Arabidopsis thaliana: one gene and its partner. The protein of the gene in region 1 interacts with the protein of each later gene in a biochemical or structural test. Each region holds a gene or a part of one and is shown on either strand. Other genes may lie near its edges.

What was found. Proteins that work in one complex are often made in the same cells at the same time.
Region 2: of the proteins of AGL29 (region 1) and MPK1, one has a biochemical effect on the other in vitro, tested with the Arabidopsis thaliana proteins (one large-scale study listed by BioGRID).

Annotation. Positions count from the first base shown.
Region 1 is NC_003071.7:14,524,866-14,528,234, forward strand, and holds AGL29 (AGAMOUS-like 29), read left to right. Parts: upstream 1-1,805; 5' UTR 1,806-2,084; coding exon 2,085-2,603; 3' UTR 2,604-2,869; downstream 2,870-3,369. Other genes in the region: LHB1B1 (light-harvesting chlorophyll-protein complex II subunit B1), read left to right, coding at 1-753; AT2G34450 (HMG-box (high mobility group) DNA-binding family protein), read right to left, coding at 3,053-3,103, 3,266-3,346. UniProt on the Arabidopsis thaliana protein: Probable transcription factor.
Region 2 is NC_003070.9:3,347,198-3,351,706, forward strand, and holds MPK1 (mitogen-activated protein kinase 1), read left to right. Parts: upstream 1-1,884; 5' UTR 1,885-2,121; exon of another isoform or gene 2,122-2,367; 5' UTR 2,368-2,381; coding exon 2,382-2,804; intron 2,805-2,889; coding exon 2,890-3,579; 3' UTR 3,580-3,983; downstream 3,984-4,509. Other genes in the region: WLIM1 (GATA type zinc finger transcription factor family protein), read right to left, coding at 1-44, 144-240, 432-566.

The DNA.
Region 1 (3,369 bases):
GCCGTTAAGCTATCCCCGGCGGCCTCCGAAGTATTTGGAACCGGCCGAATCACCATGCGCAAAGCCTCCAAGCCCACCGGTCCATCCGGCAGCCCATGGTACGGATCCGACCGAGTCAAGTACTTGGGTCCATTCTCCGGTGAGCCTCCGAGCTACCTCACTGGAGAGTTCCCCGGTGATTACGGGTGGGACACTGCCGGTCTATCCGCCGATCCCGAGACCTTCGCTAGGAACCGTGAGCTAGAAGTTATCCACAGCAGATGGGCCATGCTCGGAGCCCTAGGCTGCGTTTTCCCTGAGCTATTGGCTAGGAACGGAGTGAAGTTCGGAGAAGCGGTTTGGTTCAAGGCTGGTTCACAGATCTTCAGCGACGGAGGATTGGACTACTTGGGCAACCCGAGCTTGGTCCACGCTCAGAGCATCTTAGCCATTTGGGCTACTCAAGTTATCCTCATGGGAGCTGTTGAGGGCTACAGAGTCGCCGGAGATGGTCCATTGGGAGAAGCAGAGGACTTGCTTTACCCAGGTGGGAGCTTCGACCCATTGGGCCTCGCTACTGACCCCGAGGCTTTCGCGGAGTTGAAGGTGAAGGAGCTCAAGAACGGAAGGTTGGCTATGTTCTCTATGTTTGGATTCTTCGTTCAGGCCATTGTCACCGGAAAGGGACCGTTGGAGAACCTCGCGGACCACTTGGCTGATCCAGTCAACAACAATGCATGGGCCTTCGCTACCAACTTCGTCCCCGGAAAGTGAGTTTAATTTGTGATCGAGTTGTGTGTATCCGGTTTGTTGCATCTTGGAAATGTGATGCAGATTTCATATCTTGTAAATTACTTTGTATGTGTGTGAAATATTTAAGAAGCTTTATGATATTGATGGATCAGTCACTTACTATTTACTAATGTGCAAGAACATACTTAGACCTAATTCGGTGTTCACACAACATAGTTTGGTTCCAAGAACAGAGATAATACCAAATGATTTGATCGTACCACATCAAAGTCCAAACAAGTTTGTTTTTGTTCTTCAAAATAACTAAAATATATCTCAAACCATCCTTATATGTTTTTAACTTTTTTGTCTTTCACTTTTGGTGTGACTTCTTCAATCGGATTTTGATGTTGCATTGTTGAGAGTTTTGGTGATAAGGAATCCAAAGTCTTGGTCATAATTTTTCTCTTGTTCAAATTTAATTGCACGGAATTTTTCATGCAATTTGGGTGTGTTTGGTATGCAAATTGTCAAAGACTTTATTTTTGATAATGTAGTTCGGAGTCTTGAAAGCATTTGTAGGTCTTATGGTCGACGCTCTTGTTTTAGGTTTCTAATTAAAAAAACATGGTTAAGTTGAATGTGACTGAACTCATAAGTCATTCGAGTGACTCGCAAACCTTTGGACTCCTGTCCTCAGTGGGCATTCGCAAACAAAAACGTTTGAAACGGTCCATAACTTTTTATTTTAATTCAACGACACCATTTGCAAAAACTTTTGAACTACATAACATGGTCGATAACTTATTAATCAACGAGAGGTCTACAAAGAAGAAAAAAAAAATCACTTTGGAGAATAACGACCAGAATATAAAATAAACTTCTAAATTTTGAATTACATAAAAAAAAAAAAAAAAAGAAAGACCAATTATGAATACCATTTTTAATTCTTTACAAGGTAATGAATCCCATCTTTTGTCTATGTTCTTAAGAAATAAAGGGAAAAAATATGAATTGTTAAAGATTCATGTATGTTTTGAATACACAATTAGAAACTATTCAATAGAAAAAAGAAAAATGAAAATTTAAATATTCATGGATGTTTGAATACACACAATTAGAAACTATTCAACGCCCATATAAGGCAATTCAAGATTTTCAATTAAAAACTTGCTAAATCTGCACCCTTGTGATTCTCCACCTCCATTACTATATATGACCCTCGTTAGGTTCAATGAAAATTCTCTACCTCCATCTCCATTACTAAAAACAGAGACATACAACACCAAAATCTTCTTCTTCACCAACATATTCACTTTCACAGCAAAAAAAAACGAGAGGTTCTCTCTTATTCGTACCGTTTTAGCAAACAAATGGGTCGGAGAAAGATCAAGATGGAGATGGTTCAGGACATGAACACACGACAGGTTACCTTTTCAAAACGGAGGACTGGTTTGTTCAAGAAGGCGAGCGAGTTAGCCACGCTCTGCAACGCTGAGTTGGGCATCGTTGTCTTTTCACCAGGAGGCAAGCCTTTCTCCTACGGGAAACCGAATCTTGATTCTGTTGCAGAGCGATTCATGAGAGAATATGATGATTCAGACAGTGGCGATGAAGAAAAAAGTGGTAATTACAGGCCTAAACTGAAGAGGCTGAGTGAACGTCTCGATTTGCTCAACCAAGAGGTTGAAGCTGAGAAGGAACGAGGCGAGAAGAGTCAGGAGAAGCTTGAATCTGCTGGGGATGAGAGATTCAAGGAGTCCATTGAGACGCTTACCCTCGATGAACTCAATGAATACAAAGATAGGCTTCAGACAGTCCATGGTAGGATTGAAGGTCAAGTCAATCACTTGCAGGCTTCGTCTTGCCTCATGCTTCTCTCCAGAAAATAGCTAGACCGACTTGTTAGAGTTACATTCTATTTTTTGTATCAGCCTACAGAACTTACCAACACATGAAAGTTATTGCTGGTGTAGAATTTTCTGTCATCTATGGGGTGTGACTTTCTATTTGACATCAAATGAAAATGTACCTGGAAATTTGTCTGTATTAATCTCAAGTGTACTTGCTAAACTTGATCAGCTTTTTCGTCACTCTGCAGTCTGGAATTTTTGTTTCAAACAGAATCGAGACAATAAAAAGAAACAGTAAAACCCTTTGGCAACCACTCAAGAAACTGGTTAGTATTCATTGATCTCCAAATGCAATCCACAGAAACATGAGTATCAGTGAAAGAATGATCTCAAAAACGAAACAGAAACTCTTAAATATCACCGATATACAAACCCATCCTAGAAGGCTTAGAACAATGTTTCTAATGTGGTAGAAACTAAAAAGTAATCTATTCAGAATAGTCTGAGTCGGTCTCTGATTCATCGTGGGCACCTGATTCCTGCAAAATAGTAAAATGAAAAGCTCAGACTAATGTTTTATCACCGCATCAGTGGGACACTGATGTGAATAAATATTAAGCAAAAACAAGGAAAAATGAAGAACCCACTGATGTGAATAAATATTAAGCAAAAACAAGGAAAAATGAAGAAAACGGTGGTACCATTCTCTTGGTATATTCTGTCATTGCTCGGTGAAATTCTTCCCTCTTCTCAGTAGCTATATCATAATACTTTACCTTTTCCTACAAAACAGTTGAGGAACAAA
Region 2 (4,509 bases), on another chromosome or scaffold:
CTCTCCCTCCAAAGGCCTATCAGGTTTCCCAATCTTTGGTGTCCCTGTACATATATATGAATCAAACTTTAGATAGATAATTCCAAATTTGAAATCCCCACTCACAAAGCTTTTCACATTTTGATCTGTTTTTGGTAATTTACCTTCGAAGCTTTTCTCAAGACTTCCAGTTCTCTTGAAGTTTTGATCGAAATGTGGTCTGCAGTAGAGAACTCCTTCAAAGGAGTTGTAATTGCTAAGCTGACTCATCAAGAAGAAGAAGAAGAAGAAGAAGAAACAGAACAGTCAAATCTTTAGACCAATCAGTTTCCATAGCCAAAAATTCAAAGATTTCTACTTAATTGATTGGACTTCTTCATCTACATATATATCTACTAGATCTACTTCTGGATTAATGAGAAATCATCACAAACTAGAATCAAAGATCAAACCTTGAGAGTTCCTTTGCAATGGTGACATCGGAAACAAGCTTTGTGGTAGACCCGGTTATCGGCGGTTAACTTGTCGACAAGATAAACTGTTTTGTCACATGCCATGCATTTCTGGGTTGTTCCTGCGAACGCCATTCTTGTAAGAGATCAGACTAAAAGACTCAGGAAAAAAGAAAGAAGCTCAATAGTCTTGAGAGAGAGAGAGAGATAAAGAAGAATAAGATGAAGATGAAAGAAAGAGATTGTCAATTATTGTTGCTTGTTTTAATATGGGGACCAGATATATTGAAAAATGAACATGCTTCTTCTTTTTAAATATTTAAAGTAAAATTCTTTTAGGAAAAATTGAAATTTTTAATAAAATGTCACAAACAAAAAAGTTCAAGATGAGTATCGAATTTTGGATGCAAATTCGAATATTTGGTGTTTCTGACAACCCTAGCATTGTTTTTCGTGGTTGTCTAATCCACAAAACAAGATAAGCGATGAATAAATAAATAATTTGAACGTTAGCAACAAAACTAAAAACTGTACTACAAAAAGAAAAGGTTTCAACGGCATTTTTTGTGTTCTTAATTATTTTTGTCCAAACTTGAAGTAACCCGTCAATATCTGTCTCCTAGATATTTTGCTTATATTTTTTTTACATTAATTCAGTTCTTTTATATCTAGAGTCAGGTAATTATTTAGAGAATGCATGCAGTTGCTTGACAGTGCGTAAGATTTACACAAATTTTTCTCAACAGTGAAGGCAATGCTCAATAGTCAATAACTGTTTGTAAGGAAATAGAACAGGGAAAACCAACTGGAAAGAATCTTTGTCTGGTTTTAGATAATGATTAAAAGCTGTATTGGTTATGTTGAATTAGTTGGAAATCTCTAAATATCTATACACTATTTATTTTCTTTAATACTATATGTTGTGTAGTGTGTATATGAATAATGAAAATATCTGAAACATGCTTTACCATAAAGGCTTTTGATGAGCTGTAGTATTGACATAATTGGTTGAAGAGAATGAGTGATCATAATGATACCTAACATCTTTTATTTAATCAAAAATACCTAACGTTATTTTTATTTGCTACTATAATAGACTCCAACCAATTTATTAGTATCATTTTATACAGTTTCTAACATTTTTGCCACTGCTTAGATTTATGGGCTTTCCCTTTCTGTCTGCATGGGCCTCCTCTCTTATATTAATAATCTGACTTAATGAAAACTTTTAAATCTTTTGTAGTTTATTTTCCTCTAGATGCTAATTTTAGCAAAATGAAAAGATGTGTGATGGAAACGTAAAGTTAAAGCAAAAGAAGATGGTGAATTGGTGATGCAATATTTTAGTCATGTGTCATTGTTTACATTTATGATATATTTTACTTTAAAATACTTTTCTTCATTTTCAATTTTTATAAATCTTCGTAGAACACATATTCACAAATGATGCTACTTTGGTGATCAGTTACTAAAAAATACCGAAATTGATTTTAGAAGATAGAGACGTGAATCTGTTTGCCAATATTAATTGGGCTCAACTTAAGCCCAAATTATATAAGGAAAGACTACCTAGTAACGAACAAGTAGCAGGTCAACTGTCCGAGCGTTGGCCAAATCTCTCTCACTTCCACAGGTTTCTCTCTCCGGCCAAATCTAACCTCCGGGGAACGTCGTTGGTCACTTATCACCGGTTAGAATTTCCTTCCCGCTTTATCCCGTAAACTTTTTTCCCATTGATTCCGATCGTTTATGTTCCTTCACCAAATCGATAAAGTTTGATCTTTTTCCTTTTCACTATTATTAACAGACCAATCTGTTTACACAAGAAATCTACAGTAACTTATCACTTGAAAAGTTTTGATAAATAGTTAGTATAATAATTTGTTAATTGTGTGTGTAAATTTGATTTCTTGATTGTGTGTGAATTGTGATGAAGAGGGAAAACAAAAAATGGCGACTTTGGTTGATCCTCCTAATGGGATAAGGAATGAAGGGAAGCATTACTTCTCAATGTGGCAAACTCTGTTCGAGATCGACACTAAGTACATGCCTATCAAGCCTATTGGTCGTGGAGCTTACGGTGTTGTCTGCTCCTCTGTTAACAGTGACACCAACGAGAAAGTTGCTATCAAGAAGATTCACAATGTTTATGAGAATAGGATCGATGCGTTGAGGACTCTTCGGGAGCTCAAGCTTCTACGCCATCTTCGACATGAGAATGTCATTGCTTTGAAAGATGTCATGATGCCAATTCATAAGATGAGCTTCAAGGATGTTTATCTTGTTTATGAGCTCATGGACACTGATCTCCACCAGATTATCAAGTCTTCTCAAGTTCTTAGTAACGATCATTGCCAATACTTCTTGTTCCAGGTGTGTGGTTGATCCCGTTCATTTACTGTTGGTTCTAGCTTTGCTTTCTCCTGAAATTTTGCTTTGCTTTGTTCTTTTTGTGTAGTTGCTTCGAGGGCTCAAGTATATTCATTCAGCCAATATCCTGCACCGAGATTTGAAACCTGGTAACCTTCTTGTCAACGCAAACTGCGATTTAAAGATATGCGATTTTGGACTAGCGCGTGCGAGCAACACCAAGGGTCAGTTCATGACTGAATATGTTGTGACTCGTTGGTACCGAGCCCCAGAGCTTCTCCTCTGTTGTGACAACTATGGAACATCCATTGATGTTTGGTCTGTTGGTTGCATTTTCGCCGAGCTTCTTGGTAGGAAACCGATATTCCAAGGAACGGAATGTCTTAACCAGCTGAAGCTCATTGTCAACATTCTCGGAAGCCAAAGAGAAGAAGATCTTGAGTTCATAGATAACCCGAAAGCTAAAAGATACATTAGATCACTTCCGTACTCACCTGGGATGTCTTTATCCAGACTTTACCCGGGCGCTCATGTTTTGGCCATCGACCTTCTGCAGAAAATGCTTGTTTTTGATCCGTCAAAGAGGATTAGTGTCTCTGAAGCACTCCAGCATCCATACATGGCGCCTCTATATGACCCGAATGCAAACCCTCCTGCTCAAGTTCCTATCGATCTCGATGTAGATGAGGATTTGAGAGAGGAGATGATAAGAGAAATGATGTGGAATGAGATGCTTCACTACCATCCACAAGCTTCAACCTTAAACACTGAGCTCTGAGCTCAAGTCTTGTTTGTACGGGTAATTTACAGAAAACTTCTTCTTCTTATGTCTGATTGTCATCATAGACTCATAGTGTATATAGTCTTGAAAAATAAGATGAAGACTAACTTATAGTTTAAGCGAATAGTGATGCCATGGAAGCTCTGTTTTATTTAATTACAAGCTTGATGTGTGTCTGTAACATATGTACATAGAGAGAGCTGTTTTTTTTTTTTAATTACAAGTTTGATGTGTGTCTGTAACATATGTACATAGAAAGAGCTGTGTTTTTTTTTTAATTACAAGCTTGATGTGTGTCTGTAACATATGTTCATAGAGAGAGCTGTGTTTCTGTTTCTCTGTTTGTTTGTTGCGTTCTTGCAGAACTTTTAACCCTCTCATGCAATCCAAGCCTTTTGATGAATCAAGTTTTCATATAGTTGTTCTCATATAGCTTAAATCTAAGAATATCAACAATTAAGCATTTTGTTATATGAATATTTGATGATCACACCATGATCATAGGCCTTCGGATTCATAGAAGGGGTAGGCCTTTGCACCGAACCTAACTTTCCAAATCGTAACAAAAACAATGTATTGTTTTTCTTTCAATTTCTTAATGAAGTTCTATAAGATAATTTTGGTGAGTAGTATCAGTACCCTCCTCATTCATTTATCACATGATATGCTTCATTTTTTTGTCAACACATGATATGTTGCTTCTATTGGTTAAAAAGCCTTAAAGGCTAAAAGCTTTTTCTTCTACACCAACTTTCCTTCTCATAATTCATTTTTCTTTTCATAGTATATAAATAACTTGGAGGATTTTCCAATTTTTGTAAACCCATCAGAAATTTAAATTAACAATGAATATTCCAACTATATGTTTATGGTTGAATCACTTTTGTCTTTCTTTCTCCCCAAGTCAAAACTAAGTTAAATTAACAA